Linked DNA regions of Elephas maximus indicus. The protein of the gene in region 1 interacts with the protein of each later gene in a pairwise test. Links are inferred from orthologs where the notes say so. Each region holds a gene or a part of one and is shown on either strand. Other genes may lie near its edges.

The links.
Region 2: the proteins of GOPC (region 1) and HCK interact in binary tests that used the Homo sapiens proteins (3 or more experiments, as listed by UniProt). The two-hybrid records come from large-scale screens. The link is inferred for Elephas maximus indicus from reciprocal best matches to the Homo sapiens genes GOPC and HCK.
Region 3: the proteins of GOPC (region 1) and MYLK interact in binary tests that used the Homo sapiens proteins (3 or more experiments, as listed by UniProt). The two-hybrid records come from large-scale screens. The link is inferred for Elephas maximus indicus from reciprocal best matches to the Homo sapiens genes GOPC and MYLK.
Region 4: the proteins of GOPC (region 1) and CERCAM interact in a two-hybrid assay, tested with the Homo sapiens proteins (2 studies listed by BioGRID and IntAct). The two-hybrid records come from large-scale screens. The link is inferred for Elephas maximus indicus from reciprocal best matches to the Homo sapiens genes GOPC and CERCAM.

The regions. Positions count from the first base shown.
Region 1 is NC_064819.1:184,795,828-184,802,758, reverse strand, and holds the start of GOPC (Golgi-associated PDZ and coiled-coil motif-containing protein), read left to right. Parts: upstream 1-3,931; 5' UTR 3,932-4,166; coding exon 4,167-4,454; intron 4,455-6,931.
Region 2 is NC_064843.1:37,418,417-37,425,586, reverse strand, and holds the start of HCK (tyrosine-protein kinase HCK), read left to right. Parts: upstream 1-4,152; 5' UTR 4,153-4,412; intron 4,413-7,170. UniProt on the Homo sapiens protein: Non-receptor tyrosine-protein kinase found in hematopoietic cells that transmits signals from cell surface receptors and plays an important role in the regulation of innate immune responses, including neutrophil, monocyte, macrophage and mast cell functions, phagocytosis, cell survival and proliferation, cell adhesion and migration.
Region 3 is NC_064819.1:14,806,449-14,813,626, reverse strand, and holds the start of MYLK (myosin light chain kinase, smooth muscle), read left to right. Parts: upstream 1-4,178; 5' UTR 4,179-4,363; coding exon 4,364-4,396; intron 4,397-7,178. UniProt on the Homo sapiens protein: Calcium/calmodulin-dependent myosin light chain kinase implicated in smooth muscle contraction via phosphorylation of myosin light chains (MLC). Also regulates actin-myosin interaction through a non-kinase activity.
Region 4 is NC_064827.1:79,441,274-79,449,183, forward strand, and holds the start of CERCAM (inactive glycosyltransferase 25 family member 3), read left to right. Parts: upstream 1-4,909; 5' UTR 4,910-5,603; coding exon 5,604-5,806; exon of another isoform or gene 5,807-5,860; coding exon of another isoform or gene 5,861-5,958; exon of another isoform or gene 5,959-6,222; intron 6,223-7,246; coding exon 7,247-7,357; intron 7,358-7,517; coding exon 7,518-7,635; intron 7,636-7,910. UniProt on the Homo sapiens protein: Probable cell adhesion protein involved in leukocyte transmigration across the blood-brain barrier. Does not express any beta-galactosyltransferase activity in vitro.

The DNA.
Region 1 (6,931 bases):
TAAACGCTAGCAAGCAGCCACCTAAGATGCATCAATTGGTCTCAACCCACCTGGAGCAAAGGAGAATGAAGAACACCAAGGACACAAGGCAATTATGAGTCCAAAGAGATAGAAAGGGCCACATGAACCAGAGACGCCATCATCCTGAGTCCAGAAGAACAAGATGGTATCCCACTACAACCAATGACTGCCCTGACAGGGAACACAACAGAGAACCCCTGAGGGAGCAGGAGAGCAATGGGATGCAGACCCCAAATTCTCATAAAAAGACCAGACTTAATCGTCTGACTGAGATTGGAAGGACCCCAGTGGTCATGGCCCCCAGACCTTCTGTTGGCCCAGGACAGGAACCATTCCCCTAAGCCAACTCTTCAGACATGGATTGGACTGGACAGTGGGTTGGGGAGGGATGCTGGTGAGGAGTGAGCTTCTTGGATCAGGTGGACACTTGAGACTATGTTGGCATCTCCTGCCTGGAGGGGAGATGATAGGGCATAGGGGGTTAGAAGCTGGTGAAATGGACACGAAAAGAGAGAGTGGAGGGAGAGAGCAGGCTGTCTCATTAGGCGGAGAGTAATTGGGAGTATGTAGCAAGGTGTATATAAGTTTTTGTGTGAGAGACTGACTTGATTTGTAAACTTTCACTTAAAGCACAATAAAAATTATTAAAAAAAAAAAAAGAGTTGTTCCTCCCCAATTTAACATAAAATCATTGCCCCCTAGGTTTCCTACTTAATCTTTGAGGTTGCTGTTGTTGATTTGATCCCATACAGATAGATCTTAAAAGAACACTATGCTCAAGGCAGACATTCTTTACTATTATGCTAAATTATCATTTGGTTTTAAGAAGACTTCAGGGGATATTTTTGGTTTAAAGTTTCCCACCCTATTTATTCTTAATAACATCTTTTGGCAGAACTCTGCAGGGATAAATTTCTAAAGCAAGACAGTCATATTTAAGTTATAGCAGACTTAAAAAATCACATAGGTATGATTCACGAAACAATTGTTGGAGGTTTCTGCCAATCCAACTGCAAATACAACTATCATGATTTTATTATCTCTGGGAAAATAAATCCTGCAAGTATTGAGATTACAATTCCAAATTCCAGAGTAGGTAAAGGCAATAATGTAGATAGAGAATGTTGACAACAGATGGCAGCACTTGAACATCAAACCAACCCTACTTTTCTTGTCCAAATTTGGCTGTGACTTGTAAAATTGTAACAACTCAATAAAATTGCAACAACTCAATCAAGGTGGGCAGAAGATTATTTGTCTACATCAGGGCTTCTCAAGAGCACTTGAAATAGTCACATGGTGATAGAAACAGCAAGCGCATAGGGACGTAGCCATAGTGTGGTAATGAGAAGGGACAATATAGATGAAAGTATGCTGAGGCACAGAGAGTGTGACTTGTTGGAATTGTAAGGGTTGTAACAGAAATTCAACTAGGCATCCTGAAAATGGGGCTATTCATCAACAATTAGAGCACTGGACACATATACACACTTGAAATGCACTTCAGCCACACTCACACAATATAGTCAGAAGTTGAATGATGTTATTTAAAAGAAATGAAATTTATCTGCAAGTGTGGGTGGGCCGTATAAAGAGAGCTATAAGAAAAAAAATGAGTATTACAATTACTATTTTTGTCATATTTATTACATAGTAAGAGATTTGTATTTGGCTATTTACTGGGAAGAATTTTTTTTTTTAAAGGTAACTACTTTTGGACAGATTTGCCATTTTATACTGATAATTTGTACAAGAAGAAATGGATTTTCCCATCCTTCTATGCCTCCTGGTCAATGGCAAAGGCTTTGGATTAAAAAAGACACCTAGACGGGAACCCTGCTCACTCACTTTTTAGCTGTGTGACCTTACCAAGACAATACTTAAGCTGTTAACCGTCTAGGACAAAATGATAATACCTACCTCAGAGGATTTTTCAAGGATCAAAAAGGTTAAGCAAATTCCACAATGCCTACCACATACTAAGTGCTCAGTAATTGATAGCTATAATTATTGTTGTTGTGGTTCCATGTATGTGCCCCTCTCCAGTTTCAAATTACTTGCTTCAAATTCCTGAAAATTCATTGCTAACTATATTACCTATAAAGAGGCTGGGACCTCGGTAGCTGTAGTAATGATGTTCTTGTGAATATCGTAGATAAATGCAAAGTTAGTTTTGGAAGGGAGTGGGGAAGAATGCAAATCTTAGTTTTATATAATTTATTGTGTATTAAAACCTGCCTGAACATGCCTATATAAGCTCAGGGCAAGGATCTTACGTTTACTAAGGCTTAGCTAAGTTTGCTGGAGCCAAAGGACTCTACTGGCTTACATTAATTAGTCAGCCCTGCAGTACCCAGAGAACAAACTAAAGATGTGATTTCTCGTTCCTCATTGGTGTTGACAAGGGTCACATGGTGCAGGCTTTGGACGGTGATTAATTGGAAGGGTCTGTCCCCTGACAAGGTCACAGAAGACTTTTGTAGTCGGCCAGTAAAATATTCCCTCAGGCAATACAGGAGCAAAAGTTCCAACCAACCTATTCTTACCAGGCTGGTTTCTCCTTCCCTTTCCTCGACTGGGCTACACTTGAAATGAAACGGGGTTGAGAGTGGGTAGGTGGAATGGTAAAGGGGGCAACTGCTCAACACTTCCAGGTGTACTGCAAAAATCAAATTAAAATTGTAGCTGTGAATGCTAGTAACCGCAGTAACCTATGAGCCCTGCTTGAATGAGGGTTATGTCTCATTCATTTGTGTCCCCAGTGCACGGTTCGGCATTTAATATATTTACGAATATATAAATCTTCATAAAGACTTAAGAGGTAGTACTAAACATAGTATTATGCCTTTGAGTGCTTCCTTCCCTTTCAGATTAAGATTTGACAGTAAAAGCACTGAGACTGGGGTGTGCGTGTGTGTGCGCGCGCGCGCGCCTGTACGTTGAGTCAGAATTGACTCCACAAGAACGGGTGTGGTTTTTTCTTCTTTTTTAATAATACATACAATATATAATCATTTTGCATTCCGATGTATGGTTTCAAAAAGAAATCAACATGAGCTCTATAATGAGAGGGGAAAACAAGCCATTCTTTGGGGATATCCACTTAAATTGTTTAATTTTTCTGAAACGTCACGTGTTGAACACTACCCAGTTTTTTTTAAATAATTGAGTGATTCCTTCAACACTTGCACTTTTCAAATAGTTGTTTTTGAAATGTATGATCTGTGGTGTAACAGGACCTAATACCACGTGCCAAGCACCCATGCTAAGCATTTTACCTTATTACTGAACGAAGTAAAATTTGAGACTCCGAGGTTAAGTAACACGACGAAGGCTGTATAGCCAGGGTGTGAAACATAACACTTGAACCCAGGCCTGCCTCTTAATCACGAGACAAAAGGTCTTCTATTAATTCGGCAAAACCTGGTCAGGCGCTCTCCTCAACCTGCAGCTTTAAGCAGTTCCCTCCCAGAGTTTAGGGCCTGGTTTAACAAAAAGAGCCAGTGTATCCAACACTCCACCCTAAACAGGAACTGGAAAGAAGAAAGGTAAAACGTGGCTATTGCGCATGCTCACTCTGCCCTTCCAAGCTTTCCACTCCCTGCCCCCGGACTCTACTGCAGCAACTTTCCCAGACTTTAGAATAGCTCCCGCCCACTGTGAAGTCAAACGGGCGGAAGCCGTTCTTTTCTGCGACGTGGATATCCTCTCTCCCGCCGATCTTTCCAAATTGGAAGCAGACACCATGCGCCTCTGTTTCTCTGGGATCCAACTTGGAGTTAGCCAGTTGTCAAGATGGCCGCTGACAGCCGGTCCCGAGCACAGGCCTTTCATAGGCCAAAGTCTTATCCTAGCCCCGCCCATTTCGTCCCCGCCAGCCTTGTCCGCCTGCCTCTTTGCTACGCATGCGCAGTGGGAGCGGGACGGAGGTGGGACGGTCCCGGGTCTTCCGTGTGCCACCGCCGCCGCCTCAGCCTCGCTGCTCTTGCCACTGCGGGCCTACCTTGCCGGCGTTAGCCGCGCGAGGGGAAGACGGGGTACGACGGAACGTGCGTGCGCGGGGGTCCCCATAGTCCCAGCAGTTCCCCTCGCGCAGGGTGGGCGGCGGGGGTCAGCAGCAGGCAGGGGAGGCCCTAGGCGGCGCCATGTCGGCGGGCGGCCCGTGCCCGGCGGGGGCCGGTGGGGGCTCAGGGGGCGCCTCCTGCGCTGTGGGGGTCTCCCCCGGCGGGGTATCCATGTTCCGGTGGCTGGAGGTGCTGGAGAAGGAGTTCGATAAGGCCTTCGTGGATGTGGATCTACTCCTGGGCGAGATCGATCCGGACCAGGCGGACATTACTTATGAGGGGCGACAGAAGATGACCAGCCTGAGCTCCTGCTTTGCGCAGCTTTGCCATAAAGCCCAGACTGTGTCCCAAATCAACCACAAGCTAGAGGTGAGCAGAGGGCGCTGGCGGGGCCACATTCAGTCCCAGGCTGCCTGGTGGCGTTAGATCCTATTTAGATACACCAGTGAAACAACTCCAGAAAACTGCCTACAGGGGCACCTGGGCTATGAATGTGATGGGAGAGTGCGCGTGTGTGTGTGAAGAAAGGAGTTAGGTAAGGTAACCCAGTGCCGTCGAGTCGATTCCGACTCTTAGCCGACCCTATAGGACAGAGTAGAAGTGCCCCATAGAGTTTCCAAGGAGCGCCTGGCGGATTCGAACTGCTGACCCTTTGGTTAGCAGCCGTAGCACTTAACCACTACACCACCAGGGTAGGTAAGGTACGGAGGAAGAGACGTGTGGGTCTCCCGGGGTCGTGTCATCACCTTCTTAGCACCTCAATGGGGAAGAAACAGGAACTAATTACACCAGCCAAGACTTAAGCTCAAAGATTCTCTGTCATAAGAATGAATACCTTAGCCCACCTTTTTACATTTAAGACGTCGATAAAACAAAGTTTGCATATCACACCAGACAGATACAGGCCTGGTTATTTACTTATTTTTTTAAACTATTCCAGACCGGCATCTGCGGTTACAGAGACATACTATTCTCTGCATGCATGAACTATTTAGGGGAATTTGATCAAAGCTCTTAGAATTTGTGGGATAAATATGATAATATCATTGCCTTTCTCGGTTTACATCCACAGTTGGTCCTTAGGTTACAGGCAGACATCTCCAGAGCCCCGTGCAGTTATTCAAATGGCTTCTAACATTGAACTTTGTGTATTTGTACTTTACTGTGTTTCCCAGAGTCTGAATTTATTTTTGAGTGTGTAAAGAATGATTGTTTTAGTCTGTAATCTTGGGGTGGGTGTGGGCGAGTGGTGGTGGTTTCCCCTCCCAAAAAACAAAAAACCCTACCACATTTTGCAGAAAATGAAATTAGGGCATTATTAAAATATTTAGAAATCATGATAGATTAATTTTATTAAATAATTACATAAAGAGCATTTTCTAATTTAAAAAAAATTAGGCAATTTAAATGAGAATGAGTCTTTTAAAAGTAGATTAAAAATGGGATAATCAGTGATGTGCAAAACTCTTTGAACATTAGTTTTCCTAAGAAATCATTGTTGCTACTAGTTATGATAATTGAAACTACCCATCAGATCCAAATTGATATGAATATCAGAGATGCATCCTCTCTTCGCTTAGTGGTCAGCATTTTTTCGCTTTTCTGTCAGTCATAAAAAAAGTGGTATAATCTGATTAACATTGGTTTGCACATCTGAGATTTTCTGCCTCTTCTCCACTGAATGGACTGTTAATTTCTTCTACCCTTTTTAAAAGGGTAAGAATGAAAGTGTTGATATGAAGGTAATAATTGGCTTTTCTAGGTAGAATAAAAATGTCTCTTGATTTCTTGATTGATAGTAATTTCTAGAAGATAGTTATTTTTTCAAGTAGTGAAATTGCATCTGATGGTACTTAGAAATAGTACTTGAGCTTTGAATAACAAAGTAGGAGAGGAGCTTTTGTCACATGAGAACTTTTTTTATCATTTACAACTGCAGGTTTGTAAATGACTTGCGGAAACATTAAACAGTGATATTATGATGTCCGGTTTAAAATCTAATTTTGCAGAAAGAATCATTATGTGAGTAGGAGGTAGTGCTCAATTTTTTTTTCATCTTTAAGCATTTTAGATGAGTATTCAAAGCTGTAATAAATTATGCATGCTCTTTTTCTCAGAAGTTATAATTATGTATTCTGACTTCATGCCCTGACTTAGAGGTGGCGTTATTTTTCAAAATAAGAAATGCTTGCGAATCACAATGTGAGCATATTTTTCAACATGTTTGAAACTCTTCATTTAAAGGTCTCAGAAAATGTAGAGGGAGAGACGTAAACTTGATTTGGTTTTTTTGTTTTCTTGCTTTTTCCATTATAATGACTTGTCTGTTTGTAGTATTAATCTTCCATAATTTAGTAATTTTTACACCTTGTATGGAAACCCTGGTGGCGTAGTGGCTAAGAGCTACCTACGGCTGCTAACCAAAAGGGCGGCAGTTTGAATCCACCAGGTGCTCCCTGGAAACCGAATGGGGCAGTTGTACTCTGTCCTATAGGGTCGCTGTGAGTCGAAATCAACAGCAACGGGTTATGGAATCAGTTGTGTACTGCTGAGGAGAGAGGTTCAACGCCGGCGTTGCCTTTCATAGTAGGTCTGCTGTATCCGTCTGCGTGATTTCAGGGCTTGCTGCATATAGTGTTATCAGTCTTCAGACATCTAGATTCTTAGAAAACCATTCTATAACTTTTTGCCAAATTTAGATAGTTATATTGATTTAAATATATGAACATTAAGGCATACTATTTGAGGCTGCTTACATTTGATATAACAAATGTGCTCCATAGTTCAGTGGTTTTAGAAATTAATACCTCAAACCATGTTGCCATAGTAGAAGAATTTATATAATC
Region 2 (7,170 bases), on another chromosome or scaffold:
TGCAACAGGACATAAGGGAACTTTTTGGGGCAATGAAAATGTTCTGTATCTTGATTGAGGAGGTAGTTACACTGGTGTGCATATTTGTTAAAACTCATCAAACTGTACATTTATAAAGGTTGCATTTTATTGTATGAAAATTATACCACAATAAAGTTGATAAGAGATTTGGGAACATGTACAGGAATTTTTATAACAACATTACTTTAACAGCAATGAATTAGAAAATTGGTCATTAACAGAAGAATGTTTCAGCTCTGTGTGACCCTCTGCCATCAGAATGGCAAACATTTGGAAGGAGATGTAGCAGATGCAGATAACACCCCTCCCATGTCCCCTCAGCCTTTACCAGGACCGGCATCTCTTCCTGGAGGTTCTCTCTGGTGGCTGGATCCCTCTCTGCCCAGGCATTGACACGGCCTGGGAGTAGCCATTAGCCACTGTCTGACAGGAGTTGGTGTGTAAATGTCTTAGTTACCTCATCTATCAGGTAGGATAACTCTCAAGTGGTAGAGTACACTGTCTCCCAGAGTTCCCCAGCAGGACTGAGCTCCAGTTGCCCACACTGGTAACTTGCTTGATGTTATTGTTAGTTGCCACTGAGTTGGTTCCAATTTATGATGGCTCACTTGATAATGCTTCCTTAATTGGTTTCCTTCCCTTCCTTATCTCACTCACGTCTCTACCAGTGTTATCTGTGTCTCCAAAAAAACAGCTACTTTCACTTGAATCCTTGTCTAAGGTTTGGTTCTGGGGAATTCATATTAAGACCAGGGGGTGATACCAAAAGTTGATGAAGTTAATGGGGAAATTGTTGGAGAGAAATTGGGTGGCAGCCATTCTGCAAGTATCTATCATTTTTGGCAAAAGCAAGTCTTAAAACTTTTCACACAGGTCCACTAGGGGATGTATGTAAGGATGCCTAGTGTGGCATTGTTTATGTTAGTGAAAAGTTGGGTGCAATCTAGGTGTCCATGACTAGGGAAATGGATAAATAAAATGTGGAGGATGTAAACAATGATTACATGGTAGTTAGAAGCAGTGAACAACCAGTACCTCCAGCAACGTGGCTAGATATTAACAGCACAGTGATAGAGTGAAAAAAGTATGAAATTTATAAGTACGATTCAAGTAAATTAAACACACACTTAAAACATTTCCTACTTTTTTTTTTTAAAGTATATACATATATTTAAGCACATATACCAAACACATAAGAGCAGAGGCATTGTCTTTCTTGTTCATTGTTGTGAGCTCTTAGGGGACATTTGGCAATGTCTGGAGACATTTTTGGCTCTCACAACTGGGGGATGTGTGTGCTACTGGCATCTAGTGTGTTGTTCTTAGTTGCCAGTTGCCAGTTGCCATCAAGTCGGCTTCCACTCACAACAACCTTATGTATAAGAGAAGGAAACGTTGCCTGGTCCTGCACCATCTTCATGATCATTGGTATGTTTGAGTCCATTGTTTTGGCTAATGAGTCAATCCATCTCATTCAGGGTTTCCCTCATTTCAGCTGACTCTCTGCTTTACCAGGTTTCACTGGCTAAATCTTTTCAGAAGTAGACTGCCAGGTCCTTCTTCCTAGTCTGTCTTAGTCTGGAAACTCAGCTTAAACCTGTCCACCATGGGTGACCTTACTAATATTTGAATACCAGTGGCATAGCTTCCAGCATCACAGCAACACGCAAGGCCCCACGGTATGACAAACTAACAGACACTTTACCAGGACGGCGAGACTATGTCTCACATGCTTTGGACATGTTGTCAGAAGGGATCAGTCCCTGGAGGAGGACATCATGCTTGGTTAAGTAGAGGGTCAGTGAAAAAGGGGAAGACCCTCAATGAGATGGATTGACACAGTGGCTGCAACAATGGGCTTAAGCATAACGATTGAGAGGATGGCGGGGGATAGAGCAATGTTTTGTTCTGTTGTGCATAGAATCACTATGAGTCGGAACCAACTTGACAGCACCTAACAACAACTGCTTTACCAACCGTGATGTCTTTTTCTAGCAATTGGTCTTTCCCGATGATGTGTCCAGAATAAAGAAGCCAAAGTCTCCTTTGCTCCCAAGGAGCATTCTGGTTGTATTTCTTCTAAGACTAATTTGTTGTTTTTCCAACAATATTCTTCACCAACGTCACAATTTGAATGCATTCACTCTTCCGTCTTCCTTTTTCATTGTTCAGCTTTTGCATGCATATGAGGCGGTCAAAAAGACCTCATATATTTGGGTCAAGTGCACCTTAGTCCTCAAAGTGACATCTTCGCTTATTAACACTTTAAAGAGATCTTTCGCAGCAGATTTGCCCCATGCAATTTGTCCTTTGATTTCTTGACTGCTGCCTCCATGGGTGTTGATTGTTCATGCAAGTACACAGGTGGTGGATCTAGGGGGTAGAGGTCAGGAACGCTGCTGAAAAGCCTGCAATTCACAGGATTAGCCCCCTTTCAAGAAAAATTTTAAGTCCAAAAGTCCAGAGTACCGAGTATGAGAAGCTTGACTTATCCCAGCGCTCAGCACAGTGTCCTACACAGTACTGCTGAATGAATGAATGAATGAATGAATGAATGAATGAATGAATGAATGAATAAGAGACAACGGTAGCCAGAGCTGGCTTGTGGCTGTGGAAGAGAGAGACACAGTACATTTTAAAGTTGTGTCTGGTAGAATTTAGGGTGACAGTTCCTCTCTTTTCCAGGGGCAGATGGGTTGTGCTCTTCTCCAGCGCTGAGCCGGATCCCATCCAGTCACCCTTCTGCCTCCTGTCCACCCTTCTCAATTTGGGAAGCTGTCTGTGTTGCCAGGAAATGGGCAGGAACCAGCCAAGGGCAGTTTTGCGGGCGCAGAGCTTTGCATGGCGTTTGACTAGGGCAGGGCCTGTGGACGGGAAACCACTGACCACAGAAGGGCCGGGAAGGCCAGGGATGCAGCGTGGGAGAGGCGCCTGGGCTAAAAGGCGGGTGGATGGGGAGACCCAGAGGTGGCGAGGACTTCGGGATCCCCAGAGAAGGAACTTAAAGCAGAGGAGGGTGGAGTACCAGGTTAGACTCCTGTGGGATGAAGGGAGATGGGGAAACTAGGTTAGAATCTTGAGGAGGGAGGGCAACCGAGTTAGGTTCTTTAGGGAGTTGGTGGACAAGGGAGGGATTAGAATTGGGGGGGGGGCAGGTTAGGACCCTGCTGGGAGAGACAAGGTGGGGGTTAGGACCCTTCAGGACTAAGTTGGAGTCTTTGAAAAGAGGGATTCGAATCCTTTGATAGGTGGAGTTAGAATCCCGGGGGGGGGGGCGGATTAGAACCTTCGGGTGAGCAGGGTTAGAGTCCTGAGGGGGAGGTTAAAATCCTTCTGGAACAAACGCGGGAATCACTCAGGAGTGGGATTAGAATTCCTAGGGTTAGAGCTATAAATCTTGAGAACCTGGTTAGAATCATTGGAAGAACCAGAAACCCACTGCCGTAGAGTGGATTCCGACTCATAGGGTTTCCAAGGCTGTAAACCTTTAGGATGCAGGCTGCCACATCTTACTTCCTCGGAGCGGCTGGTGGTTTCGAGCCGCCGACCTTTGGGTTAGCAGTGGATCGCTTTAACCACTGTGCCACCAGGGCTCCTTTAGAACTAATAAAAAATTAGAGGAGTTAAAATCCCTGGGGGCAGGATTAGAAATCTATGGTGGGCGAGGCTAAAAATCCTTTAGAAGTGGAATCGAAAATCCTCTGCGGTCACAGTTACGATCTTAGGAGGAGGGGGCCGGGTTAGGGTTCTCTGGAGGGCGGGTTAGAAGCCCTAGGGGCAAGGTTTGGAATCCTTCGGGGACTGGATTAGGCTCCTTCCGAGGCGAGGTTAGAGTATATTAGGGGCGGTGTCACGATACGGGGAGGAGGAGATGGGGGCTAGCTTCTTTGAGGGACGGGTTAAAATCCTTGGGGCGGGGTGAGGACCTTTGACGGCTGTGTTAAAAGCCTCCAGTGGGCGGAGTTAAAAATCCCGGCTCCTGGGAGGAGTGCACCCAGGGTAGGCTCCCCAGGGAAAGGGTTAGAATTCTTGGGGTGGGGTTAGAATTTGGGGGAAGGGGTCAGGCTCCTTTGGGGAGGGGTTAACACCGGCGGGGCGGGGCTAAAGTACCTCTGGCCTGTGGGCGCCCGCGAGTCCCCGGTTCCAGCCCCCCGGCTCCGCCCAGGCTCAGAGGCGAGTGGGAGGGGACCGAGCCGGTTCAGCTGGAGAAAAGTCCGAGAAGGCCCGCGGCTCCGAAGCCCCTGGGAGCCGCGCCCCAGTATTTTCTTCTCGAAAGTCACTCCGTTTTCCTCCAGGCTCGGGCGCCCCGGAACCCCGGGGGCTGCTAAGCTGGGGGGGCGCCCGAGCTGCGAGAATCCGGGCTGCCCGCGAGACGAGGAGCGGGCACCCAGGTGAGTGTCGCGGACAGGCCGGTGGCGGGGGGATAGCACCTGGCCGGTGAGCTCGGGGTCCTCGGGCGGCGGAGGGAGCCCGGGGTCTTGGGCAGGGCTGCCTGTGGGTGCAGCCAGTCGGAGGGGCGGGAGCAGAGCGCGTCCGGGGAGCCGCGGACAGGCGGTGGGATAGAGGACCAACGGGGACAGGTGGGTGCCCAGGTCAAGGAGGAACTGCCATGGCCCAGCTGGGAGCCTGGGTAGCCCAAAGGGAGGGCTGAGTGACTTTGTGCTCGAGTGCCACTTCTCTTGCCGTCCAGGTTCCCCTTCTGCAAAAAAAAAAAAGAGAAGGAAGGGATGCGGCTCCCATGAGCAGACGGGAGGGGAGGGCCTTTCAGGTTTTCAGTGGGGGAGGATGACAAGTCACAGCGGGCTGGCAGCTGGTCGAGATCCCCTCCGGCCCAGGCCGGAGCGGGAAGGGGGCAGCTGGGTGGGGGCGTGACCTATGAGCCACACCCAGGCGGGGTAGCAGCTGGGCCAACTCCTTGAGCTCCCTTTCCCTGCCGGTCTTGGCCGGGACCCCCAAGAGGTCTGAGTCAAACCCCAAAACCTCTTGGGGAGACCACAGGATGTTATGAGACCTTGGGCAAGTCACTTCATTTCTCTGAATCCCAGTTTCCTTATTGGTAAAACAGGGCTATTAATTCCTTCCTCAACTGCTACAGTGAGCTAGAGTTTGTGAGAGGTTGTGTACGTGAGGTTGTTGCCTCTTAAAAAGAGACCGTTTAGTGTAGTGGTTAAGGGAGAGGACTCGGGTAGGGGATTTGGCCTTTCTGTGCCTGGGTTTCCTGGGAATAAAAATAATAATACCTCCATCACAGAGTTGTTTAGAGGATTAAATTGAGTTACTTAGGGGAAAGCTCTTAGAGACCGCCTGATAGGTATACATGCTTAATTTGTTGCCATAGCTTCAGAGTCCCTGGGTGATGCAAATGATTAACCGGCTCCAGATAACAGAAAGGATGCAAGTTCAAGTCCACCCAGAGGCACCTCAGAAGAAAGGCCTGGCAATCTACTTCTGGGGGAGAAAAAATCAGTCATCGAAAACCCCACGTAGCACAGTTCTCTGACACACATGGGGTTGCCATGAGTTGGAATGAACTTGGCAACTAGTGGCTGGATTGTCGTAGCTATTAAGGTCTAACCCAGTGGTTCTCAAATTTAGCAATACATCAGCATCACCTGGAGGGCTTGTTAAAACACAGATTGCTGGGCCCCAGCCCCAGAGTTTGTGATTTAGTAGTCTGGGGCAGGGCCCCAGAGAATTTGCAGTCTCAAACGATGCTGGTGCTGCTGGTTCCGGGATCACACTTTGAGAACCACTGACCTAATGTATGGCTGGTGCAGAGAAAGGTCTTAATAGATATCAGTTCCCTTATCCCACAGCTTTCTTGTCACTATCCCTTATTGGGGAAGTGGAGATTTTTAAAAATACAGAAAAGCAAAGAGACTAATACACTAAATATCCCAGGAACCCAATACCAGGAATTAACAAATGTTAGCATTTTGTCATGCTTACTTCCGAGTTTTTTTTTTAATGAAATTACTAAAAGTAACATGAAATCGAACCCCTCGCCCATATCCCTCCCAGTCTTGTTTCTCTCCCTCCTGAGTCTACCACTGTCATAAATTACAGCCCTTCCAGTCCATGTTTTTATAAATTTACTGCATATATATGTAATGCATCAATAAACAACACACAGAATTGTTTTCTTTCTTGACATCTACATAAATATTACCTAACTGTAAGAGTCTTCTGCAATTTCTTTCTTTCTTTTTTTCCTTCACATCATTAAGCTGTCAGAGTCTACCCATGACGAGAAATAATGGTCCCTTCATTCCTTTTAACTGCAGAGGAGTGTCCCAGTGAGTGACCACCCACATTGTTTCTCTTTTCCCTGTTGGTGGACCTTCAGGTTGTTCCCAGGTATTCACTGCTATAAAAGATGCTGCGGGGACCATCCTTTTCTTTCTTTCTTTTTAAAATTGTGCCTTAGATGAAAGGTTACAGCTCGAGTTAATTTCTCATTCAAAAATTTATAAACATATTATTTTATGACATTGGTTGCAGTCCCCCCAATGGGACAGCATGCTGTTCCTTTCTACCTCGCCTTCCCTGTGTCCATTGGTCCAGTTCCTGTCCCTTCCTGCCTTCTCATCTTGCCTTTGGGCAGGAGGTGCCCATTTGGTCTCATATATCTGATTGCACTAAGGAGCATATTCTCACTTGGGTTATTGTTTGTTTTATAGGCCTGTCTAATCTTTGCCAGAAAAGCGAGATTTAAGAGTGCTTTGGCTCTGAGTTAGCAGAGTGTCCAGGGGCCATAGCCTCGGGGTTCCTGCAGGTATTACTTGAGGGCAATGCCAAGGGGCTGATGGCTTCCCTGAAGGGGCCCCTCTCTCCCTCCCCTTGGGGAGAGGACAGGTAGGCCTGGAAGGGTCAACCAGGGAGTCTGGGGCAGAAACGAGAGAAGAATCTGGTTCTGCTGACCTCCCAGGTCTCACATTTTCACTGCACAAGGTCAAGAATCCTCATCCACCTTGTTCACTGTGCCTGGCATTTAGTAGATGCTTGAAAACTGGAAGCATACCTCTACCGTCAGCCCAAAAAACTGATGTCTGAGGGCCCTTGCCCCAGCGGGTGAGGAGAAGGGTGTCTGTGCTCAGAGAACTGGCAGCCAGGGCTTGGAATTAATTCTTCTAGAAAGAAAATTTCTCG
Region 3 (7,178 bases), about 170 Mb from region 1:
ATTAGTTCAGTCGATACTTCCCAGGCAAACTACATTGGCTTCCCTAGGCACACATTCTTGCCAATAAAACAGGGAACTTGGCAGCTGTCATTCTCACAATAAGTTAATTAAGTGAAATTCTGTTTCATACACGACTTTCATCTTAACACAAGCCAGTCTTTCAGCCTGACCTCCTCCAATTTCATTTCTAAGATCTAGTTTTTGAACCCGTGAAACTGAGGCTCAGGCCCCACTGAGTTACTTCCTTGTCTGAAGCCTTCTCTCTTCGATATCTCTTCTAGCTACAACACTGAATAGTCAAGCAGCTATCCCCTACAGGGAGGGGGAAACAAAAAAACACACACGGAATTAAAAAATATCTATATTTGCAACTACATTTTACAGAACACAGAGTGTACCTGGGAAATATCAAACCCAATGACAAACAGATATAATCTGGTAAATTACTGCACTTTAAAGAAAATAAAAACGTTCTCTGGGCATCTAGGCAGAAACAGCATATAACTTATAAGTGAGACCGTATTGGACTTCTTTACAGCAATGCTTTAAGCCGGAAGAAATCTTAAACACATATTTAAGATTTTTAAGGAAAAAAAAATGCAAACCATGTATTTTATATACAGCAAAAGTGACTTTGAAATATACCTTCAAACTGTAATCGACATCAAGAACTCAGGGAATATTGTTTCCATAAGGCCTTCCTAAGGAATCTACTAGAGAACCAGATTTCAGAAAATCAAAATGACTAAACTAGAAAGACATAGACATAAAGAACTGATGATGTTCATTAAATATGTATTTACTTATAGAACTAAGACTAAATGAGTCCTTGTACAGCAGTATTCGTGGCAGCATTATTCGTAACAGCCAAAACGCGGAGACAACCCAAGTGTCCGTTAACAGATGAATGGATCAACAAAATAGGGTATGCAATGGGATATTTTGCACCACAAAGAGAAATGAAGTTCTGGTACATGCTATGACATGGATGAACCTTGAAAACATTACACTGACATAAGTCAGACACAAAAGAACACGTATCGTATGATCCCAGTTATATGAAACATCCAGAAGAGGTAAGTGCGTAGCGACCACAGTTCATTAGTGGTTACCAGGGCAGGTGGGAGGGGGAGATGTGAGTGTTTCCTAAGGGGGACAGAGTTTTTGTTAAGAATGATGAAAAATTTTGGAAACAGAGATTATTGTACAACATGCATGGTGAATGTAATTAACGTCACCAAATTGTACACGCAAAAATGGCTGAAATATTTTGTTACATGTATTTCACCACAATAACCAATAACTATACATATAAAAAAATAACTCTATGTGTATATATAGTTACAAGGTCACTATGAATCAGAATCCACTCAACAGCATGGTTTTGGTTTTATTTATATATGGCAACCAACGTAGAAATAATGGCGTCCCTGGGTGATGTAAATGGTTAACCCACCCAGAGGCACCTCAGGAGACAAGCCTAGGTTCTGCTTGTCCAAAAGCTTGCAGCCTTGAAAAGCCTATGGAGTAGCTCTGTTTTGCACACATGGGGTCACCATAAGCTGAAATTGATTCGATGGCAACTAATAACAACATAGAAATAAAAACTTTTTGAAATAAAAATTAAAAAAAATGACTAAGCCAGAAAATCAGTTGCTGTCAAGTCGATTCCTAATCCTGAGGGTTAAATGGTAAAAATTATAGTATGCAATGGCTATAGAAGCTGGGAATATAGAGTCCAATCGTAATAAAATAGACAGTATATGAAAAAAATTAACTTTTCAAGAATCATCATTGATGATAGTATTAATATTGTCATTCTGAGGTTACTGTATGTTTAATGTAAAATAAAACAAGTTAGTAAAATGAGATATTCTAATTTCATCATCCCTTGTATCCTTGAGAACCAGGATCCTCCAAGTAGAAGAAAAGACATCCCACTGTAATATGGAAGAGTTTAAGTAAAACCTTATAGTTCTAAAATGGAATTGGAAATATTAGTATGAACTCATGAAATATTTTATCTTCGTTCTGTCTACTCAAAAGGCCTAAAAACAATTACCAGTCTCGTGGCAGTGGACACCATTCCCTCACTAAAAGAAACTAGGGATTCTTGGAGAAATGGCTAATCCCGGGTCTGGGGCAGCAAATGTACAAGATGAACCGGGAACGTTTTGTCATCTCAGAAAGCAAGGAAGCTATCAAAGACCACTAGTGTGTGTCAAAAGGACCCAGGAGCCAAGTGGAAGAGGTTCCTACCGGCCAAAGATGGGCAATCTGAGCTTCAGTGAGGATTAGAATTGCAGTAGATTAAAACACCTTAAATATATTTAAATCCATGAATTCATAATGTTATTAAGAAAAAGAAAATAAGTCACTGTCTTAGGCCGGGTTCTCTAGAGAAGCAAAACCAATGTGGCATATAAATATACATAGAGAGAGATTTATATAAAGGAAATGGCTTACAAGGTTGTGTTGTTGTTGTTTTTAGGTGCCATCGAGTCAGTTCCGACTCATAGCGAGCCTATGCACAACAGAACGGAACACTGCGCCATCCTTACAATCGTTGTTACGCTTGCGCTCATTGTTGCAGCCACTGTGTCAATCCACCTTGTTGAGGGTCTTCCTCTTTTCTGCTGGAAAGTCCCAAATCTGTGGGTCAGGCTCGAGGCTTCTCCTGATTCATGTAGCCACAGGTGCTGGTGAATCCAAAATTGGAAGATCAGATAGCAGGCCTCTGGCTCACAGGCTGTGGAGGCCGACGACGAATCCCAAGATGGCCAGGTAAGACAGCAGGTAGGCTGCTAGCTCAAGTCGTGAGAACCAGAAGTCAGATGAACAGGACCCAGCTGCAGGATCCAGAGCAAGAAAAAACCAGCAAGCCTTGCCAGAAAGTCTACCAATATTGGATGCAGGCCACATCCCCAAGGAAACTCCCGTTCAACTGATTGGCTGCTCACAATAGATCTCATCATGGAGGTGATCACATTATGTCAGATATCATTATGGAGGTGACTACATCATTAAAAAGCTGCCAGACTACATCATACCTGCCAAACTGCTGAGGATCACGGTCCAGGCAAGTTGACACACAACCTTAACCACCACAGTCACTTTTTGAGGATGACGGAGGACCAGTTTATTATCTTGAAAACTGCATCAATTCATAAAAAGAAGCAAGTGTTTATCCTGTTTTTCCTACATGAATTTATCTCAGAGTAACCAAATAGTAGGTGAGGGTAAGCATCGGTTTATAAACGTATTCAGCTAATAAATGAAAACAAAATGGTAGAATTAGAATATCATTTTGCAGCCCTCGATGAATTCATGGGTCTTGGAATTGAGCATCAACAGCTGCTAAGCTCAAAGGAGATCCAAAAACAGACATCATGTGCCTCTCAATAAAGGAACATACCACCACCTATAGTTTTGAAACGGGATCAAACGTCAGTTTGACGACACTTACAGATCAGCTGCCAAATTGGAGAAAATTTAGAAGACAGAGGAACAAGCCGAACTGTTCATGAACATGCCTAAATTCTCCAACAGATAAATTATAAGAAAAAACTTGAAATTCACACAAAGTTTTTAAAAAATAGGCAAGATGTACACTTGAGTGATAACACCAAGTACGTGATTACTGTCTATAAAAGGCAGGATAGTGGGAGAAGGAAGGAAGGGATGGGACATATGGAGAAACTTCTAGTTTGGCTGGCAGATTTCTTGATCTTAGGCTGGGATTACAAGGACATATATATATACAGTTTGTGTGTGTGTGTGTGTGTGAGGTTATCTGTGTCTATGTTTTATTTTACAATAAAAAGTTTTTGTTGTTGTTTTTAAAAATGACCCCGGCCTCAAATAAAGGATTAAAAAAGAGGGCATGGGAGGGGCGGAAAGAGGATCCAAGTTAAGAGATGAGAAAAACTACAAAATACTTCACATCAGGTGCAAATTAAATATTAAGCAAGCCAAAATTTTTCTTTCTTTTATTGTGCTTTAAGTGAAAGTTTACCGGAGCTGGTCTCGGGGTCCTGCGCTCGGGACCCGGCGGAGGAAGAGCGCCGTGGGCGTGGCGGCCGGGGAGGCAGGTCCATTCCCCGAGCGTTATGCAAATGGCATGCAAACCAGCGCGTGTTAGTGTGGAGTCCGCAGCGTGCGTCCGGCTCCGGGAGCGGCGCGCTCACTCGCTGGCGCACGGGCGCGCTGGCTCCTGGTTGTCTCGCTTGCCCGCCAGGTCCCCGGGTCCGCGCCCGCCCGGCCGGGACGCGCCTCGCCGGCTCCCAGCGCCGCCAGGTTCCCGGTCTTCTGCAGACGAGCCCGCGCCTCGCGCCTGCGGCCGGTGCGCCCCTGCCGAGCGCCGATGCTCGACTCCCGGGCCGCCTTCGCAGCGCGGGTGAGTGAGCCGCCCCACGCTTTTGTCTTGGCGCGGTCCTGGAGTCGACTCTCGGAGGGGTGAGTGGGGAGCCGAGACGCTCCCTCCCTCGGAAGCCTTCCCCCCTCGGAGCTGGACGCCCCCGAGCTGGTGCTTCCTAACTCTCCTGCTGGAGAGGGGCTCCTAGGTGCGGCGAGGAGTTGGGGGACGTGAGGGGACGACAGTAATGACGCCCAGCAGCCCGGGTTTTCTTTTGGAGGAGGTGAGGTGATGGGGAACAGTGATATGATTGTCTCTATAGGAGTTACGCAAAGGGGGTGCCTGTGATTTGAGGGGTGCGAATCGCCGCTAGTCCCCAAAGAAGAGAACCGGGCTTTTCTCCCAACTTCCCAGCCCCTTGCACGACAGCAGTGAAAGTCCCACAGCCCAAATGTGAATCCCGGGAGGTAAGTCTTGCTCTTACTCAGTGCCCCTCACTTAAGTCTCTCCCCTCGCTCTGCCTCCTCTCTTCAACTGGGCTTCCGTTGTTAAGGGACCCTGTTCCCAGATAATTGCGACTAGGAAGTTTTCAGTGAACTAATTCCCAGGAAGCATTAGCTGTCAATAGTTGAGGCAGAGCTACTAAAACTGTCAAGACCCAAAGGACTGAATTTCTGGAAGCGTTACTGCAGACTTGAAGATGGGCTGGTGGGGAGAGTTTTCCTAGGAGCTTTGGGTTTGCATTCCCTTTATGTCAGGATGCCAAGGAGAAGAAGAAGGACTTAGCTTGGAGCCTAAAACTTGCTCCCTTCAAGTTGATCCCTTGATTCTGAGTCTTAGGGAACCACTGCGCCAACAGGGCTCCAGTGTGAAGCCTGGAAATGGTAAAATTAGTGATTACAGTTCAGGGAGCTGGGTGGGATGGGGGTACATCTAGGAGATGGGCATGGTGCCAGGCCTCAACACCTGGTTTTGTCATCCTTCCTGGCCCCCAAGTTCGAAGAGCACCAGTGTGTATAATACCCCGTGCCCCCTGCCTTCTGGGGCGTGTCCTAGAGCTGTGCCCCTCTGGGGCCTGTCCTAGAGCTGTGCCCCTCTGGGGTCTGTCCTAGAGCTGTGCCCCCCTTCTACTTGGAAGCCTTAGGTTCCTCCTTGCCTTAAGGAAATCTTTGTCAAAATGCACACTTGTCAATAAATTATTTACAAAAGGGGGCTCGAGAGGAGCTGGGATTGTTCGGAGAGCCCCCCCCCCCGCCCCCGCCACTTCAGCACATCATGTGTTCACTATGCCAGTCTTGGGGACATGTGGGTGCTCTGGTGTCCTTCTTAGGCTCCCAGAAGGCATTTCAGATTCTAGTTGAATTGTTTTTGTTTTTCCCACTTACTTTCTTTCCCTCTTCTCTGCTACTGTTGTTTTCTTTTAAAATCTTCCCTGCCCTGTTTACTGCGGGACAGGAAGGGTGATGCTGCTGGCACCGCAGTGCCCTAGGCCTGCGTGGAACAGTCGCTCCCGGTGCCCAGACTGAGGCTGACCCTTTGTCACCCGTCCTCAGTGGGAAAAGAGCTGAAGCTGGGGCAAGGAGGAGCACAGGCAGGTGGCCCTGGGTGGGGAGTGGTCTGAACACTGGAGGTCGGGTAGGGGGCACTCTGGGGGCATGCACAGGAGCCTTTTCACTAAGATGTGCATGTCAGTTGCCTCATTCGATGATACAAAAGGATGTGAGTCTTCACACACCACTAGGCATGAGTTTGGAGAACCAGCCACCCCCACAGTGGGGAAGGATTTGTGTTGGTCCATCCTCCTGTTTTGGTTTCTTTTGTGCAACAACTGGTCAGCTGAGGAAGGAGGGGGTAGCTGGGGCCTTGGAGCGGTTTTTCCTTGTGTGAGGTTTGCTGACCCCCCCCCACCCCCACCCCAGCAGGAGACTGCTTCCCCAGGAAGCAGATCTTGGGGAACAATGAACTGAGCAGACTACAAGTTCCTGGTCTAATTACTGTAGTTTGCTGGACCCATCTGCTGCCTGTGCCGCCACTACAAGCAGGGTCTCCCGGCTGGCAGACGGGCAGGAGGCTGCTGGGAAGGGTTGTCAGAGAAGGAGGCTGGCCTCAGGTGGTGCTGAGGGGAGAGAGGCCCGTATAGTGCCAAAGGTGGAGCAGAGGGGAGGACACCTAGGGTCTGGGCCCTGGCTGGGGGGATTGTCACCAGCCTTGGAGGAATAGAATGTGAATGTGCTGGGGTCACCTTGTACTCAGTGTCTACAAAAACGACCCCTTGCTTTTTTCCTCACAAGGTAAGATGGACCTAGAGTCTGTGAAACTCACCTAGTTGGTTTATTTTCTCTTTGCCTTTTAGGAGGTTTAGGAGGTGGGGATTTGAGAATGCAGTCCTGCTTGGGAGTAGGGGGTCCAGAGACCCTTTGAACATGTAGAGTTTTATTTAGTATCTTTCTGAGGACAACACTTCTTGATATTCTGAAAGTATACACTAAAGCCACTTTAAAGCCCAGCTGCTCCTGCCCCAACTCAAAATAACACACACAGGTTGGGAAATTAATTCTTAAAAGCTTCCTGCCATACTGTTCTATCCTTTCTTTAAATGTAGAGAAGTTTAGAGAGCAGCCCTTAAAAAGCAGGCTTTCCCAACAGAAGACATTGTCCTTGCCCAACCTGAGTATTCTTTTTTCCTGACCATCGAGGGTACACCCAGGGAACGTGAGGTAGGATCACTTGCATGGAAAACGTACAACTGGGCGCTTGGGTTTGAGTGATATCTGGGGTGGCCTGGGGGCTCGGAGTCAAGGAGCCATCGAGTAGTAATCCAGAG
Region 4 (7,910 bases), on another chromosome or scaffold:
AAGTCTCTGTTCAACCTTGGGTTCTCTTGGACTGGGTTTGGACGTGAGGTGGGAAGGGAGCCTAAGCTGGCTTTTGGACTCCCATCTGTGGAGCTGCACCCAGAACCAGGAGTGGGACGTGGGCCCATCCTCTGGCCAGGATCCTGGGCTCCCTTGGCTACAAAGCAGGACAGGGGCCCAGAGAGCCCCCAACTCAGGAGCCGTGAAGCTGGCAGCTGGTAAGAGCTTCATCATAGCACTTCCCCCCTCTTGTACCCCCACTCCCAGCCTGCTTGGCTCTCAAGCTGTGAGGACTCGCAACCCCGGGGGCATCTCTAGGCTGGCCCCACCTATTGGTAAGGTAGCGTAGCGGCACCTGGGTCTTTGCATGAGAAGATAGATAGAGGGTTGATGAGGGTGTGGCCAGAGCCCACTGGACCAGGGCCACGGGCCTGGGTTCCGGACCCCAACTCCCACAGGCCCCAATACCCCTAATTTCTCTCCAACCAAAGGGGCTCCTCTTGCCCCCTCCTTAGCCTCCTGAAAGAGGGGGCTGGTCCCCCAACTGGGGGTATGCTAGCCTCAGTGTCCCTCTCCCTGCTGAAGGTCATGCTGCAGAGCCTTCACCAGTGGGCAGGCCTTGGAGCTGAGGCTCCCAGAGGGGAGAAGGCGCTGGGAAGGGGGTAGTTCTTTCTGGGTCTCTGGTTCTGGAAACCAGAGTAAAGCCTGAGGCGCAGGCGCCACCACCTGGCCTTGGCCAGAACTGCAATGGCCAAGGGATGGTTGTGGGGAGAAACCCAGAGCTAGGTTTGTCCAGTCTGGGTCCTACACAGCCAGACGGCCCCAAACAGTCATTTTTTCCAGGTGTGGTACCATCCATGACCTAGAGAATAAGGCCTTACACTCCATAGGCCAGGAGCTTCAGACTTGAGCCTGCATCAAAGTCACCTGAAAGGTGTATTAGATTGCTTGGTCTCCAACCCTAGAGTTTCTGATTCAGTAGTTCTGAGGCAGGACCTAAGAATTTGCATTTCTAACAATTTTCAGGTGAGGCTGATGCTCCTGGTCCGGGCACCATGCTTTGAGAACCACTGCCTTAGAATTCCTGTGAACTGGGCCCAATAAAATAACACCTTTGCAGTGTATTATTATTATTATTATGACAAAAAACGAGTGTAAGTGGGAGTATAGGTGCTTGGTCAGCCCACCAAAGCCAATGTCCAGTCACATTTACATCTGGAGCCCACTCCATGTGCACTGGGGGTCTGCTCTAGGGGTAAGGGATGTCATGGTGAATGAGATAGGATGGGTTAGGTCCCTGTTTCAGAATCCAGTCTAGCTAGGAGATAACCAGGCAACCAGGCAAGTATAGCATGTGATCCTTCCACCTGGAGGTATGAAAAAAACCTAACCAAACCCATTAGCATCGAGTCCATTCTGACTCATGGCAATCCTGTGGGTTACAGAGCAGAGCTGCTCCATAGGGTTTTCTTGGCTGTAATCTTCACAGAAGCAGATCATCAGGCCTTTCTTCCATGGTACTGTTGAGTGGGTTCAAACTGACAACCTTTAGTAGTCAAGAGCAAACCGTTTGTGCCACGTAAGGACCTGGAGGTCTAAAAGGCAGCTCAAAATAATGCCCAAAACAGAACCCAATTTTCACATCCCACCTGCTCCTTCTCAGGTGTTCCCCAGTCAGCAAACATAACACCACTATCCAAACCAGTTGCAAAGCCTAAGTAGGGATCATCCTTGATTCCTCCCTCTCTCTCCCATATCCGATCACACAAGGCCTGTCAGCTCTGCCTCCATTATACAACTCAGTTTTGTTCACATCGTCTCTTTCTGTCCGAGCATCTCCATCCTTGCCCCTGGGCCACCCTCTGCACTGCAGCCAGAACGGTCTTTTTAAAGACAGGTCATGTCACTTCTCTGCTTATGCTCAACAACACTTTCCTATTGTGTTTTTTTTTTTTATAAAAAAGTTCCAAAATCATGCTAGGCTTCTGGGCCTTATGTGGCCTGGCCCCGTCTACCTATTTACCCTTACCTCGTAGCACACTCCCTTTGCGCCTTTGCTCCAGCTATGCTTGCCTCCCTGCCTGTTCCCACTTCAGGATCTTTGACCCACCCATGCCTTCCATCTGGAATACTCTTCCCTCAGATCTTTCCTAGGCTGGCTTCTCCTGCTCCGGAATGTCTTCCCTGGCCCCTCTATCTACATGTTGCTTCCCACCCCCTACTCTCTATTCTTATTTACTTGTTTTGTTTTGTTCATAACACTTACCGTCCTTTGGAATTGTCTTATTTGCTTCTCCATTTGTTTATTTCCAGCCTTCCTCACCAGAATGTAAGTGTCCTAGGGGCAGAGACCATGTCCGTCTTGTGTGCCTCATATTCCCAGTGCCTAGAGTTGTACCTGCACATAGCTGGTGCTCAATATATTTTGTTGAATAAGTGGGATCATATAGGATGCCATATAGGGTCCCGCAGACATGACATCAAGGATGGCTTTCCAGAGGAAGTTTAAGCTGATACTGAAGGGCTTATAGGAGTTGGGCTGGAGGAGAAAGACCAGTCTAGGCATCGTAGGGACCAAAAAAATAAAAAAAGCATGCAGTTTTCTGGCAACTGTGAATAGCCCAGTTTGGCTAGAGCAGAAGGTTTAGTGGAGAGAAGAATGGAGAAGCAGAGGAGTTGGAGAAGCTGCAGGCCAGCCATGCAGGGCCTCCCTGCCCTTGATGGGTTTGAGCTCTATGCTGAGGGTGTTAAATCAGACATTTAGAAAGGGCTGCTGAGTGTGGATGGTTTCCAGGGAGAAAGCCTGGTGGTGGGGAGGCCTGGGAGGTGCAGTGGCCCAGGTGAACAATGCTGATGTCCTGAGCCAGGCAAGTGGCAGTGCAGAAGGAAAGTGGCCATGTGCAGGAGACACTGAGGAAGTGACCCTGCCAGGACAAGGTGATCGTATGGATATATAGGGTTAGAAAGAAGGACTTGTCATCAGTGACTCCCAGGTCTTCAGTTTGAAGGACTGGATGAGCGGAGGTGCTATTTCCTAGGGTGGAGGGGCACTGCAGGGGGAGCAGGTTTGGGGGAAAGGTGGGGGTTCTGTTTTGGACAGGTAGAGTTTGGGTCTAGGTGGGCAGTTGAGATACATGCTAAGTTTCCACAAAGAGGGAATGGCCCATGTGGTCAGCTGCTGTTAAGAGGCTGAGCCCTCTAGGATGAGGAGGACGTATCCCTTGGGGGGAGTGGCAGGCAGAAGCAGTTTGGCTGGAGCAGGCTTTGTGTATGTCAAGCAGTGAATGGAAGTGAGTCAGTGAGACAGGGAGCAAAGCACAGATCTCCCCCCACCCCCCACCCCTTCAAGATGTTTGGCCTAAAGAAAGGAAGAGAGTTAGGGCCACCACTGGGGGCAGGGAGGTAGCCTGGTATTTTCTTATTTTAAGTTGGGGAAGATTTACATCTTTTGGAATGCCGAAGGAAGGAACCAGAAGAGTGGGAGGTTGATGATAACAGGAGCTGTAAGGGGATGGCATTGTGGTCATTTCTTTGAGAGGAGGAAGATGCCTCTTCTGTTGTAACAAGTGGTAAGAGTGGAAGCTGGTTTGTGGGCAAGGGGTGGAAGACTTGGAGGCTTCAAATGAACGTTCCCAGGTGGTGGCTTCTATTTTTCTCCAAGAAGTAGCAGGGAAATTCTTGCTGAGGTGGGAAGTGGAGTTGGGCTTCAGTTTGGGGGGGGGGGTGTCATTTGAAATGCCACTAAGAGGGGCCAAGGAGCATAGGGAATCAACATGGTGGGCTTGGTGAGAATCCAGGTGAGGATGGATATCATGAGTTTGCAGTGGCCCCAACGTCCCCACAAGCAAGATGGTTATACAGTTGGGTCTTCTCCAGGAGGGTTGATGGGAGGACCCCAGGATAAGGGAGTCAGTGACAGGTTGGATCATTAGGTGGGCTGGGGAGGGAGGTGTAAATGGGAGGGGCTGATGCATTTGGGAGAAGGAAGAAGACTCAAGGCCAGGGAAGAATCTGGAAGACCCCATGACCAAGAGGATGGGCAGAGGCTCAAAGACATGGAGAACTCTGGGATGACTCTGGGATAAGTGAGGTAGAGAACACTGCTTTGCTGTGTCTGGGGTTGGGAGTGCCTTCTGGCCAGAGGCTACTAATGCAAGGGAGGGGATTCCTGAATCTCCCCAGGATGCTTTCTTGGGGCCTTGGGCCCTTCTCATTGTAGGTCACTGGCTGGGAAATGGCCTTACCTGGGAACTTTGACCTTGAGCCTGATGGAGGCCTTGGAGCTCAGCTGGAGGTCAGGACTCAGGAGTTCAACCCCCCTACAAGCTGTCCCATCACTAGGTAAGTCCATTCCTGGCTGGGCCCCATGGCTACCAGCAAAGATAGTGTGCCCAGGCCTAATCTGCCTACCTGACTCTGGGAGGAGGCTGAGAGAGAGAGTCAAAAGGTGCCTGAAGGAAAGCAGATCGTCCAGGTGAGATGGAAGGGTGAGTATGTGGGGGAGATGCCTGCCTTTCCTGGGGCCTCCTCCGCCTGACCTCTCTTCTCCTGAGCCCTCCCTGTGTTCTAGACTTCCCACAGAAGCTTCAAGTGCATTTATTCTCTCAAGGAATTCTTGCAAACCCTTCAGGTGTTATAGGCCCCATCTTATCCATGAGAATGCTGACGTTCAGGGAAGTGGCCTGTCTGAGATAGGCAGTACATACAAGGCTAGAAACCACCGTTAGTGCCTCCAGGTCCCTCTCTTTTTTGCTGCAGACCCATTCCCATCCCAGCAGGGTCCTAAGGACCAAGGCTCTGCTCCAGGGGAGGCTGGAGCCCCTGACTTGGAGGGGACTGGGTCGCTGTGAGGGGCTCTGTGGTGTTCAACAGTTCAATCAATCGAAGTGTGGGCTTTGCTCTCTTAAAGGGTCGAAGCAGCGGAGGTGCTGGAGCGGAGGACGACGACGCGCTGGGGAAGCCAGCCGCGAAACGCCGCGGGATGGCGCGCCCAGGCCAGGGAAACCCTCTTCCCGCCCTCCAAACCGGGTCTTCCTCTCAGACCTACGCGTCGCCTCTCTGGTCTGCGAAGCTCCCATCTGGACCCGCCAGAGGGCGCCCGGGGGCAGAGGCGGAGGCGGGCGCCGGGGAACCCCGGAAAGGTAGCGGCCGGGTCGGTGCTGCCCTGCGGGAACTGCAGCTAAAGTCCGAGGGTTGGATGACCAGAGAATCTGGATTCAGGCGCGTCAGACGCCCAGTGAAGCCGGATTCTGGGGGTCGAACGATCAGGGATTTGAAGAGTCGAGCGCTCTTACACGCTCGGGCGGCTCCAATGCCGTCACCCCAGGCCCTCCCCTTCCCTTCTCCCCATTCCAGGGTCCCGCGCAGGCGGGGGGGCCTGTTCCTGGGGTGCGTCTGGGGCGGGTCTCCCGGCCCTGGCCCTCCCGACGCCCCTGGCCCAGGGGCAGAAACTCGAGAATCCGGGCAAGGGGTAGGGAAAGGGGCTCCTAACCCTCCTCGGCTCCGCCCCGCCCCGGGCCCCGCCCGCCCGGCCGCCCCGCCCACTCCCCTCGGCCCGGCGGGGAGCTCCGGGGGCCGCCACTGCCGCCGCCCGAGCGCCCGCCATGCACGCTGCTCCCGCCGCCCCGCTGCTGCTCCAGCTGCTGCTTCTCCTGGGGTCGCGGCTGGTGGGTACGGGCACCGCGGAGCCGCCGCCGCCGCCGGCCGTGGTCCTTGTCATCCTGGCCCGCAATGCAGAGCACTCTCTGCCCCACTACCTGGGCGCACTGGAGCGGCTGGACTACCCCCGGGCCAGGCTGGCCCTCTGGTGAGAGAGACCCAGGCGTTGGTACCCACGGGACATCTCCCCCCAGCCTCCTAGATGGCTCCCGGCCCCGGTGGCCTCATCTGCTCCCTGCCCAGACAGGCCCCACCCTCGCAAACAGGCCCTCCAGAGTCCCAAGCCCCTGGCTGGCAAAGGTAGACCTAGGTCTAGGCCGTGGGGGTGACCCAGGGACACCCACCCCTTCTTCCAGCCCCCTTCTTCTCCTCTTGGGACCGCCTCTGGGTGTTAAGTTGGGCCCAGGCCCTCTTACCTCAGCCCTTGGAGCCCAAACTCAACTCTGTGGGACCTGTGGTTGGTTTGACTTGGAGACACTGGACCGGCAGGAGTCCCCTGAGGCTGGAATCCCCTGGGGCCTGACATGGCTGGAATCAGCAGGACTGGAGCTTCCTGGGGAGCAGGTGGGAGTGCTGTCAGCCCTGGGCTGCATGCAGTTCTGCAGGGGAGTCAGACTGGCTCTCCTCCAGCTGAGCTAGGCCCTGTCCGCCAAGGACTGCACAGCTGGGGACTGTCCCTTTCCTGGAGTCTCTCCCCGCAGGCATCTGCATACAGCACTGGTATCAGAGACCACAACCTCCAGTCTCTGGAAGCCAGAACAGGGAGGAGTCCTGAGCTGAGGCTGCGGATAAACTAAGAGAAATGACAAACTACCCCCCCACCCCCACCACCCAAGACACCAAAGTTGGAGGTGGAGCCGTGGCCTGGGGAGGCTGCCCACAATTACCACAGTTTGGGAGTTAGTTCCCACCCCTCCAAGACTTGACACGTAGTTAGTCTTCACTCCTGGGGAATTGGCTTAAAGGGGCAGCATCACTCAAGCTGGGGCTCTTGGCTAAGCCCTGCTTCTCTGTCACCGGAGCCCCTTCCCCAGGAGAAGAGACCTATGCTCTGAGGCACCTGGGCTTGGGCTCATCAGCACTTCTCCAGGAGCTCAGAGCATGGTTTGACCCTTATTACAATTTGCCGGTGGAGGGAAGCAGCACTGTTCTGTCCAGTCCTGACAGGGAAAGGGACTGACCTGTGGTCACACAGCAAGGAGAGAAAGTAACCAGGGAATGTAGCAGGTGTGCTCCTCAAAGTCGAGGTACCTTTCATTTTTCAAAACACATTTACCTTCTGTTCTCTCAGCCCATGACATGGTCAGGAAAGCTTATAGCAACAGAGGGAGAAACTGAAGTCAGAGAGGGAACAGGACCTACCTGAGGTTACACAGCCGGTCACAGAGCTGTGATTGGGACCTGGCTGTCCTGCCTCCAGCCCCTCTTCCCCCCGCCACTGTAGCACACCTAGCCTCAGTGCCACCCTCCCCTGTGGCCTGGGGTGACCAGCCTTATAGGTGTTGGTGCTCCAGGGGTCAAGTCTGGGTTTGGCCCTTCTGTCCTTCTGTGGCTGTGACCTCTCACCCTTCTTCCTCTCTGTCCCCAGGTGTGCCACTGACCACAACATAGATAACACCAAGGAGATGCTGCAGGAGTGGTTGGCTGCTGTGGGCAATGACTATGCAGCTGTGGTCTGGAGGCCCGAGGGGGAGCCCAGGTGGTGACCTGAGGGGAAAGGTTCTGGAGAAGATGGGGAACAGTTGTAGCCCAGAGAGGAAAAGGGATAGCCCAGGGCCAGCCCAGGGCTCTGTCCACTGCCCTACAGACAGGGAGAGATACCCACACCATGAGAACATGTCATGTCTTTACTCCCTCAGGTCCTACCCAGACGAAGAGGGTCCCAAGCACTGGACCAAAGAACGGTACCAGTTTCTGATGGAGTTGAAGCAGGAAGCTCTGACCTTTGCCAGGGACTGGGGGGCTGATTATATCCTGGTAAGGAAGCCTGGCCTAGGGTTGGCTTCTCACTGGTGATGGTATCTGTCCCTGGCAAAAATCTCGATGTGACTAACCACTCCTGTAGGCTGGATTCTTCGCCTGGCAACCTGGGCCAGAGCCCAGATCAGCTGTTAAGCTTGGATCCCTAGGCTGAGCTTGGACTAGGTACTAAGCCTGGATCTCTGAAATAGATCTTAGGGTATATAAATAAAAAAGTGGGCCTAAATTCTGGACCAGAGCCCAGGGTACAAACTGAGCCTGGGTTCATGGAC